3 linked regions of the Schizosaccharomyces pombe genome follow. Changing the gene in region 3 together with the main gene of any one other region gives a genetic interaction. Each region holds a gene or a part of one and is shown on either strand. Other genes may lie near its edges. The genes, in order: vps5, spo3 and psy1.

What was found.
Region 1: of psy1 (region 3) and vps5, extra expression of one rescues a mutant of the other (dosage rescue), as found in Schizosaccharomyces pombe (one study listed by BioGRID).
Region 2: of psy1 (region 3) and spo3, changing one suppresses a phenotype caused by changing the other (phenotypic suppression), as found in Schizosaccharomyces pombe (one study listed by BioGRID).

Annotation. Positions count from the first base shown.
Region 1 is NC_003421.2:700,773-704,611, reverse strand, and holds the start of vps5 (retromer complex subunit Vps5), read right to left. Parts: upstream 2,016-3,839; 5' UTR 2,006-2,015; coding exon 275-2,005; 3' UTR 1-274. Other genes in the region: TATA-binding protein-associated factor TAF6, read left to right, coding at 2,931-3,062, 3,221-3,839. UniProt on the Schizosaccharomyces pombe protein: Required for efficient sporulation target of PtdIns(3)P in vesicle transport required for onset of the forespore membrane formation. Plays a role in vesicular protein sorting.
Region 2 is NC_003424.3:2,051,191-2,054,790, reverse strand, and holds the start of spo3 (sporulation protein Spo3), read right to left. Parts: upstream 1,994-3,600; 5' UTR 847-1,993; coding exon 1-846. Other genes in the region: btn1 (battenin CLN3 family protein), read left to right, coding at 3,139-3,600. UniProt on the Schizosaccharomyces pombe protein: Has a role in spore morphogenesis. Involved in the assembly of the forespore membrane.
Region 3 is NC_003421.2:1,027,520-1,031,358, forward strand, and holds the start of psy1 (plasma membrane SNARE Psy1), read right to left. Parts: upstream 1,701-3,839; 5' UTR 1,628-1,700; coding exon 773-1,627; 3' UTR 1-772. Other genes in the region: putative histone N-acetyltransferase Naa40, read right to left, coding at 2,737-3,309.

The sequences.
Region 1 (3,839 bases), 330 kb from region 3:
CAAGTTATTTATTTACAAAGGAGTGTAGGGTTGCTGTAAGGTTAGTAGATAGAATGCAATATTTTAAGGTACATTTTCTTTTCAAGTAATGAAGTACCATGGACGAAAAGGGAAATTGCAAAAAAATAATTAGAATAGAATAGAAATCGTCAGCTAGAGAAGTGCAAAGTAATAAAGCGGTAGTTGGAAATACATTAATACGAATATGGGATAGAAATATTACACGAAAGAAAAACATAAAAATTAAAAGAGTGCATAGGGAAAATTAGAGTCGTTATTGATCCAAAAATGATTCCCAACGCTCAATAATTTCTTTTTGAGATTCAATTGCAGATTCCAACCACGTTTCAACACTAGCTTTGAGATCATCAACTCTACTGGTTGTGAGAGAACTCAAATCTCGTTTTAACAGAGTTGTTGATTCCGAAAACTCTTTTTCCAGATCAGCAGCTTTTGCTCGATATTTTTCGTATTGTTCTTCCAAGTAAGGGAGTGATTTTTGCTGAGATTTCGCTTGCTTTTTACATTTCTCAAGTTGAGTTTTAGCACGAGAAACAGCTTGAACTGAAGATTGCCATGTCTGCCACAACTTTTGACGTGTAGTAAAGGCATTTTTGGCACTCTCCACGTACCGAATGTACTCCTCCAATGTAGTGCCCAGTGTCAAATTGTCTTGAGCAACCTTACGTTCTTGTACAAATCGAAGCTCTACCTGGAGTTGGGAAAGACCATCAAACTTGGATGATAAGGTGGGCTCTAAATCAACTAAAGATAAATTTCCAACAGCCTCGCCAAAATCATGGATGGCTGAAGCGAACTGTATGCGTTGATCTATGGATAAAAGAAGCGCGTGATAAACCGACTTTAGTTGAGTTTCCAACGAATCAAGTGTATCCTTTGCTTCAATTAAAATTGGATCCTGTTCGGAAAATTTAGAAGATCCAGAGGTATGGAAGGCGGAGGTGAATGAGTCAAGTAAACCAGATGTTGAGGGACCTGAGCGCAAAGGACTTGATGAACTCTCAATGAGAGTAGTACGATGTGTCATTCTAGGGTCAAATGTCTCTGCTTCAAGAAACAACTTAAATGAGTAATCATCACGTAGAACCGGATGGGCAGATATTTTGCGAAGCATTACCTCCAAGGCTGCTCGTCGCTGTTCAATAAATTCATCATCAAAACGGCCTACAACCTGCTTTTCCGGGATGGGAGGAATGATACAACCCGGATGATTATTAGAAAGCAATTGATAAAGAAAAGCAAAATCATTATATCGTCTTTGTACAGTCACATTGCTAACAGAAGGTTGATTGTGTTCCTCTAAACGAGTGGAAACCGAATATACGGTATGCGATTTAGTGATTTCCTTAACGGTATGAGGGTCATGAACTTGGATGTAAAACGGGGTAAGAGATTGAGGTGCCGCTGCCGGGTGCGCCTTCTGATTCTCCGTATCTGTTAATGAGGTTGAACCTTGCTTCTGGGAGGAGGCAGATGAGACAGTGTGTGTAAAATTTGGAGCAGAAGATGAGGCAGCGTCTAAAGTATCTACCGTCTGTTCTGAATTTGGTATAGTGGGATTTTCCGTTGCTCCGATAGGAGAAGGGGAAAAGGAGTTCACTTCTGAGATCCAAGGCTTATTTGCAGAAAAATCTGCATTCAAAGCGGGACTAGATCCTTTTAACGGATTAATTTTTGTATTTAAACCAACTTCCAAACGGTTGTTTTCGGGTGCCATAGAAGGTGCATCAGAAAATTGCAAGGGACCTAAAGGTGCAGAATCCAAAGTTAACGTTTCAAACGGAAGAGATTTCAAATTGACGCTTCGTTTCCTAGGAGATGTATAGATATGAGTTTTTGGTGGAGAAGCTTGAACATTCGGCGACTCTTCTTCCACTCCTTCAGCTGAGGGCTCTTGGTCGGTTTTTGGAGGGTTCAGTGGAGAAACGGAATCTGCGAATGGATTAAATGCATCGTCTTCTTCATATATATTATGCCCAAGCATGATGGTGGCCGGTTGGGTTTTTGGATCTGATCACTGAAATCGTGCCTGAAATGGTGATGCGCAGCCCAACGACGACTAGCGAAAAATAACGATGGTTAAATACGTTTAGCAATGCGGGGTGACTTGCGGTGCAACTAGATAAGTGTCAACAATTCAAGTTTCTAATTCCTTTTAAGGCTACATTAAATTATATTTAGCTTGTAGAAGCAGTATATTGCGTTATACAGTATTGTGAGTGGTGGGTGATAATATATTTATCATTGTAACAGCTAATAACTGGACTGAGAATGATGCTCTGTTCAATCTAGACTTCTAATTTTAACTACTATTTTATATCAATATCAATGGATGTTTTAGTAAACAAACATATAGTCTTCTGCTATTGTTCAACAAATTGAGATTAATTGGTATTCCATGTAGTGTATTTTGATGCGTAACGTAATGTTTAATAGCGATTTTAGTGTAGCTCACTGTCTTGTAAGCTACGCAGTTTGGTATCTGATTTAAGGATACGTAGAACTGCGGTGAGTTTTCCTTGTGATCTATTATATTACAATACACAGGTTGTATAAGTAGCAACTGAGTATAGGTATTGTATTAACTGGGTTATAATGTTACCTATCACTAATATAGCTCATAACTGAACTGAGGAACGAGGTTCAGCAGTAGCTCTATTTATAGTATTCAGATAATATAGATCTTAATAGATTATCATTAAGATCAATCTCCATATCGTATCATACATGGTACGATATATAATTAGAACATGTGACATATAGTGATACGCAACGTAGTGTATTATAGCGTAGTGTAGTATTGCTGACAAGTATGTTAAATAAAGCAGTTGCTTCTAACATCGTTAACTACTTCTCTGCAGATGCAATTCACTCATTGATCCATAAATCGTTCATCTTACTACCAAGTCATGTCCTTGACAGTATGGAATATTGAATCCATCAAAGATGTTGCTGAAATGCTTGGGATTGGCAATCTTGCCGATGAACCAGCAGCAGCTATTGCAATGGATCTCGAATATAGAATTCATCAGGTGGTTCAGGTAGGTTTCGTGAAAGTAGACTATGAGATTTTACTTTCTTTGGAAGAGGCTAAAATAACTAAAAAATTGTTGCTAGTTTTTTACGATGCCTTTCAATTTGCTAGATAGTCTGCTTTATTCTGACATTAAACATAATTCTCTAACAGTATTTGATTTAGGAAGCCACTAAGTTTATGGTTCATTCTAAAAGAACTGTTTTAACTAGCGCAGATATCTCTTCAGCGTTACGGACGTTGAATGTTGAGCCGTTATACGGCTTCAATAATTCTCGTCCATTAGAATTTCATGAAGCCGCTGTAGGTGCAGGCCAAAATTCCCTTTACTACCTTGATGATGAGGAAGTGGATTTTGAAAAAATCATAAACGCTCCTCTCCCTAAAGTCCCTAGAAACATTTCTTACAGTGCACACTGGCTGGCCATCGAAGGTGTGCAGCCAGCCATTCCTCAAAATCCAACTCCCTCAGATCACACAGTTGGAGAATGGGCATCCAAGGGTACTTCAGGGGTTATGCCAGGTGCTTCAACTGCTGCTAAAGAAGCTCGAAACGGTGTCACTTCGATGGACAACGTTGAGATAAAACCGTTGGTGCGACATGTGCTATCCAAAGAGTTACAGCTTTATTTTGAGCGTATTACCAGTGCATTGCTTGATGAAACTAATGTTGAGCTCCGTGATGCTGCCCTATCGAGTTTACGTGACGACCCCGGATTACACCAACTTTTACCATACTTCATAATGTTTTTATCGGATTCTGTAACTCGAAACTTAGGAAATC
Region 2 (3,600 bases), on a different chromosome or scaffold from region 3:
AGGTATCCATTCGCTATTGCTATTAAATCCAGTAAATTCGTTTTTTTGAGAGCTTAGTCCATCCAGGGAATCGTTAGACAACGTGCTTATTGTTGATGAAAGTGTTTCAGTCAAAGGACTGAAGGAGCCGTCGGCAGAAACAGCTGTAACTGCATTAATTTCTGAATCTCGCTTGTGATCAACCATAGATGGCTTTTTAATAAATTCAGGGGAAAGAAAATTTGTTTCCATTTGGGTTTCGTAAAAGTTGAAGCAGTTTTCACCGTTCACAATAGGAACCAAATTTACTGTTATAAGGGGATCAAGCTTATTTTTTTGAATCCTTGAAAATTTCCTGTTGTCGTCCAAATTTATCTGATGTGATAGATCATCCTGGATAACAAATGGCTCTTCTGAAAATAATGCTTGCTCCATATTGCTAGGGATGAAAGCAGGCTCAACTTCTGTAATTGAAACAGTAGGTATTTTCTTAAATTGTTGCTGTTTTTTCATTTCATCGATACCATTAGGTGAATAAAAAAAACGTTCTGTCGACAATTTACGACAAGCAATGTCTTCCTTACTTGACTTGATAGACGAAGCAGAGTCAAAAGAAGGGCATGCAGTAGGGCTAGGTGCTTGAAGATTTGCTGTGTCTCCCTCAACTGTTCTCCTAAATGGAGAATTAAGAGGTGTTAAGGGACGACATTCGCTATTAGGTGATGGAGTGTTTTGTTTGTCACAAGCAAACGCATTGATTTCTCCCCTTTCCAGTTCATCAATTGAAGAGTTTCTCTTTCGAGAATTAAAACTGAAAAGCCTTATTAAGCAATAAATGAAAATTCTGATGACAGACAAAATCCCCATTTTATTTTTGAATCAAATTACCACGAGGTAATGGCTTTTGAGACTAAACAAGAAAATATTATTTTATATAATATTTTCAAAAAGACTTATAGAAAAACTTATTATGAAACAGTATTCGTGGCAATTTTGAATACTTTTGATATAATAGGACGTAAACAATCGCTTTGAAAGAGATTAGAATAGGTCAGAATTAAAAAAATAAATAAATACAACACCCTAATAAGAGCGTTCCAGAGTTAAAGAAAGAAGAGTCAAAAAAATCGCGATATCGATACTAAACAAAATTGCGATCAGAAGAAGCACAAGGTGCCGAAAAAAAAATATTGACACAAGAAGATAAGAATGCAACAGTAATGATATTTGACAAAAATCAATCGGTAAAGAAAAGAAAGTTCGTACTAAAGGCTCTATATATACAAAAAAAATGCTGCTTTAAATATCACTCAAACCGAAACAATCGACTCTGTAAACAAACAGAAAAACAGTGCTTATTCGACAAAACATTCAAAAGTGTGGGGAAACTTTTATTAATCAGTTTCTTACTGGTTTAAACAAAATATAACAAGGCTGAGCAAAAAAAATAGGAGTCAAAGGCTTTACCAAAAGCTTGATGCGAGTGTTAACTCATTGAAGCGCACATCGTCCATCTTTTTTACTTGATGATCTACACATGATCATCTCTAACAATGAGGGAAGTTTTGCATTCAGATTATATGAGTTGTTTATACAAGTCGCATATGAACATTCTGAAACGAGGGTACGGAAATGATGGAATATACTTTAATAGTTTAAAGAGAGTTAAAATGAGTGCATCATCATATCTGGTATGCATTTTCGATTACAGGGAGAGGGTGGTACTGTAAAATTACCATTTTACAGCACGAAAACTCCTTTTGTTTATCAGTAGATTAAAAGGATACTCTCATTAGTAAGTTTAGTGGATTAAATAGTATTAACAGCATGTGCTTAAAAAATGTTGAAACATGTCGATGGCACTGTGATCGCATAATAATTCATTATGCTCATTGAAGTTAATATAAAACCAAAGGAAATCTAAGAGATTATAAGTCTCTTAGCTTTACTTAAAAGAGATTCTAAAATTCAAACTCTAAAGTGCGTCTGCAAACAGCTGTTTGCTGTAGCTGCTGGATTTATGAACCATGGTGAGGTGCGATTTGTAAACTAGAGAATGATAGCGAAACGCTCGTTAAAACGCCAATATCGCACTTTCTATGGACAGTATTATAAATTTGTAGTACAGCATCAAGCATAATATAATTCCCAGTAACTAACATAATGATCCCATTACTGTTAAATGTAATGTGTTATGGGTCAAAGCAAACAAGGCAAATTTGATAATGAACGAGATGATTTTTCGGTTCGGTTTCCAATTCGTTATTATAAACAGTCGTAACGGAGCGTCAAACCTTCATTTAGTAAAAAAAAAAAAAAAAAATTGACTAAGCAATACGAAATATCTATAGTAGATACATGCGTATTACTATTTTATATTATTGTTGAGCAAAGTGATAATGCAATAACGATGTTAACCGTAGTTCGGTAAAGACACATTCATACGATATTATATTCAATTTGTTTTGATTTACGATTTAGAGTTTTTAAACATAAGCAAACGAAGATCGGAATTAAACCAAAATAAATCTCGTGCCAAAAACAATAACTTCATAAGTAGAAGCTGTAGACACGTGAATAGAATATTTAAAGATGTTGTAATTGTTTTCCTGGGAGATTTCAAGAAGTGCTAACCGAAGCATGAGTAAACTAGGAGCTTTTCGATCACAGCAAGCAAGGCATGTCAGTTACTAGTCGTTGAAATTTTAGTAGGGTAAGCTTTAGCTTGATAGCGGTTGCTTGGAAAAAACAGTGTAACATTCAAAATCGGTTTCTTTTGAACCTGACAACATTACCGTAATAATTCAATCGCTCAATACGCCATTCGTGAAGGGTAGTAGCCTTTCTCTTACGAAGTTACTAAAAACTCAATTTTTTTTGTACCCTTAAGCGCTTACGAGTTCTTTTCTTCAACTTATTGCTACTCGAATAATAAATGTTAAACATATCTCGACTTGCTTTTCAGTTCGTTGATCCTCGCTATTTACAGTTTGTAACAAGTTAACTCGTCTATGAAGTCATCGATAGAAGGGCTTTAAAGTGTGCTATTTGCGAAACAACAGCAAATTTGTAGACTAGCACTTTACAAAAGTCTACTATCGTATTGCCGGTTCAAACTAAAATTTATGACCTCAGTTTCTACTAAATATAGTACGAATCATGATTAAATTGAGGTTAACAAAAGATGCGAAAGTAGGGTGTTGCTTCCTAATTTTTGGATTGTTAAACAACCTTCTCTACGTGATAATTTTATCCGCTGCCTTAGATTTGGTTGGCGCAAACGTTTCTAAGGGTGTGGTACTACTTTCTAATATTGTTCCTTCTTTGGCGTGCAAGTTGTCAGCATCAATTCTTCATGTTCATAAATTTAAGTTTGCAAAGAGAATCGGTTTTTGTGTTTTCATGTCCATATTAGGAATGCAATGGATTGCTTGGTCTTCCTCCGTCCCTTCGAAAATGCTTGGTGTATCTCTGGCAGCCATTTCATCGAGTTTTGGCGAAATCTCTTTCTTGCATCTATCAAGTCGTTATCACTCTGTGTCTTTACCGTGCTGGAGTTCCGGAACAGGCTTGGCCGGTCTCTTTGGTGCATCTTCCTATTTGGTTATGACTACATGGTTT
Region 3 (3,839 bases):
TAAGCATTTTGAAAATATACAACAACGTTTATTGAAATATCCAGAACTGATGATGAACTTCGATTCCGTTCATATACGTATAAACACATAAACTGTTAAAACAATGCTGTTATCGTCTTTTAAAAAACCAAATAAATTTTGTTGGTTTCTACCAATATAAAACCCGAGAATGATGTAAAACACTGCTGGGGTAAAGAACGAAGCAGCATGCCATGAATAAACAAAATAACAATGCCAGACGTGTAGTCCAAATATTTTACACTGCAACTTAAGTAACGAGCGATGAGTGAAAATGAAAAGACTTTCCAGAGTCCATAAATCACAATCGGACCGTTCAAACGGGAAATATGCTAAAAAGGTAAACGTTTCAAAGGTGATATCTAACCGGCCATATCACTGCAGCATTTGAAAATAAATACATTTGCAGCAACTCAAATATTAAGTAAGGGTAGATGGGGAAACGGAAAGGTGTAGACAGGGATTGTAATAACGATCGCAGAGAATTTTGCAAGAGATGGATGAAAGGAAATGAAAATGAATAAGAATAACGTGGATAAAGGGTGAAAAAGGTAAAATTGTACAAACTATACAAGTCCAAGGAAGAAAGGTTTAAAAGAAAAGAAACAGAAAAAAAAGGGGTAAGCAAAAGGATTATGGTTAGAACAGTCAAGATACTAGAAGAATAAAAGAATATCATTAAAACCAAGTAATGAAAAACATGATTTTTTAAAAGAAAAAAACTTTTCATGCAACAAGGAAGAATGACCGTTGATCAATGTCTATTGCCAAGAACAGGAATCAAAACACCACATAAAACAGCAACGATTACACAAATGATAACAACACAAATACCAAAGCAAATCCACTTTTTCTTACGAGCTGCTCTAGCGCTCTTGATAGCTCTATCCATATGCTGAGTTCCTTCACCCATATTCGTGCGAACGTTAACAGCATCCGTTACAATTTTATCCACCATTGGTTCTTGCTCCTGTACCATAGTAGCCATATCCTGGAAAAGCTGTGCAAGTTCAGCAATGGTTCTTTCAATTCTTTTAATATCGGCATGACGCTCCTGGACTTCCCGTAATGCAGTGCGAGCTTCACCAGACCGATTTGATCGAAGCAAAGCCTGAGCAAATACTTGTCCACCATTTTCTTCATTTATAGCGGTTTGAAAATCATCTTCAGTAGCCCTGGGGTTGGCAATTTCAAGCTGCCGACGCATACGTTGTTCATATTGAGCACGATATGTCTTTTCTATTTGTAAAAAGTGACGAATTTGGTCCATAAATTTCTTTTTTACAGCTTCGGTCTGTGTTTTTCTGGTGGCTGTGTCATTATCGGGTGGCAGCTGCATATTTTGAGACTCTAATGACCGGATGGCCAACTGAACGCTAGTTTGGAGACGTCGAGTATCTGATGTGTAACCTTCTAAATGGCGAGTCGTAGCTGCAATATTTGCTTCGTCAATTTCTTGCAGCGATTGTTGATGCAACATCTCAATTCGACCGACATTATCTTCGATTTGACGAATGGCATCGCGAATATGATCGATCTCTTCAAAAAACTCTCCCATACTAAGAGGGATCATCTCCACTCCTAGTGTATAATCGTTTGCTTTATTCATTTTGTTATATTTATCTGTTTAAACCCGTTTTGTTGAACAAACAAGGTATAGATACCTTCTGTTGTTGTTGGTTAAAGACAAGAACGTTTTTCCTACTAAAAATAAAGAATCATACAGCAGCATTTAACGAATGTTTTCGCAGACAATGGTAAACAAAAGGCGGCTTAGCAACAACACACTGTTGAAAGTCCGCCAATCATAATCAAATCCGAGCTTTGTGTGACGTAGCAGTGTTTACTTTTTAATGTTGTACAATACAATCCGTTAAACTTGATATCAAAAATATACGCCTAATACTTAAAAATTGAATTCCAAGGAAGTTGGAGTTTGTTAAAATCACAATAGGATACTCTCCTCGTTATTTGGACTTGTATGAGGTACGAATAAGGAGTGAAGTTTTCTTGATATTCTGGTTGAAAAGAAAGATTTTTGCTGTAGTTTATTTCAAGAAATGCATAAAAAATATTTAATTGTTTTTCGTAGTTGATGGAGTTGACTGTCTCGGAATTAATCGTTCTTTTTTGTTTTTGTTTTTTAACACTAAAAGCAATCATGGTTTGAATGCCATTGGAAACGAGAAAGGAATGCTGAAAATTTTAGTTATCATTGTCGGTAATTTTTCTCTGATCTATACTTCTAGGTTTGAATTTGAAACAGAAGTAATCGATATCCTAAGTGATTTTCTTTGAGTAATTAAAAAGATAGTAACTATATACCTCAATATAGGTAGAAATATTTTGACATTAATGAATAAATTAAAATAGAAATTGTAGCCCCTCCAATCCCTAAGCTGTTATGGTTGAAAAGCAATTCGCATCATGTAACATTACAACGTTGCTAATGGAATAAAACAAAAGTCCTGAACAGAAATTTCAAATATTTTACTAAAGTTTTAAAGGTTTAGTAAATGGAACAATATTTTGATGGGACCAGGTCATAATGTATGGTATCGTAGATTTAAAAAATACACAAAATTTGATGACTTCAATGCAAAACATTAAACTCAGAGATTGGATGCACCAAAGAAGAAAAGAGACTATACACATATTTTGTAGTTTTAGAGGGGGATGGCAAAAAGGTATGAAGCATGTGTGTATACGGAAGCTCAATTACCAATCCTTTCTGGACTTCGTATAAAGTATATAATAGTCCGGATGAATTACTTTTCCTGATCTAAATTTTTTCTCTTGGGGAGATGACTCATGAGGTACAAAATCAAAATGATGATAGAAATTCAAGGCGTTTAAATTGGCGCTAAATACTGTCAGGAAAATATATTTTAGGTTTCGTCGATATGCAAGTATACTTGCATTTTTTAATAACCATTTCCCAACGTTCCTCCCTCGTATATGCTCATCTAGCTGTATCTCATATATGTATAAACAAGTCAGACCTGCTTCCACAGTGTCTTCAAAACTCAGAAATCCTACCAATTTTTTCGAGGTTTTTTCAAAAATACAAATATACTCTAATTTTTCCATCTCCATTTCCTTCAATTTCTCTGAATCATCCCATCCGAAGGAGCTTTGTCGATATAGTGCTTCCATGTTCTTTTTTACCAAATTGAAACATTGCTGAAGAAGTCCTTTTTCTAGATGATGATATATCTCCACCCAAACCCCTAAGTTTTTTAAAAAATCAACGTCTTCGAGTGTAACATTCTTGATTTCCTGGGTCTTCATACGTCTGGGTGAGTAAAAGAGGTATTGCTTCAAAAAATGCATAATGTTGTTAAGGTATCAATATCACATTACACTTTTAAAAACCAAAGATTGAATAAGGGTTTAATACATATCGAGCAAAATGCTATCATTTTTATTATTGTTGCTACAGCAAGCCTACTTAGTAATACACGATAACAAAAAATGAATATTCTTAATCATCTAATAATTCCTATTTCCAATAATCGTTTTAAGCCGTATCCTTTATTCAAATAACAGCAGTTGTATTAATTTAGAGCTTGACTTCTGATGAAACCGGAAGAGACCTTAAACGCAATATGCAACTTTAAAATATATATATAGTTTCCAAAGATAGAAAGAAACTTGCAAACAAAAAAAAACTTTTACAAACAATTTCGGGGTCATTAACGCGTATATTTCAATTAGCATGATTTAACTTCAAGGCATTTTAGCAGATAGATGATGCTCTAAAGGCATATTTGCTAAACCCACTGCTTGTGGATAAAAATTTGCTACAACTTGTAATTAGC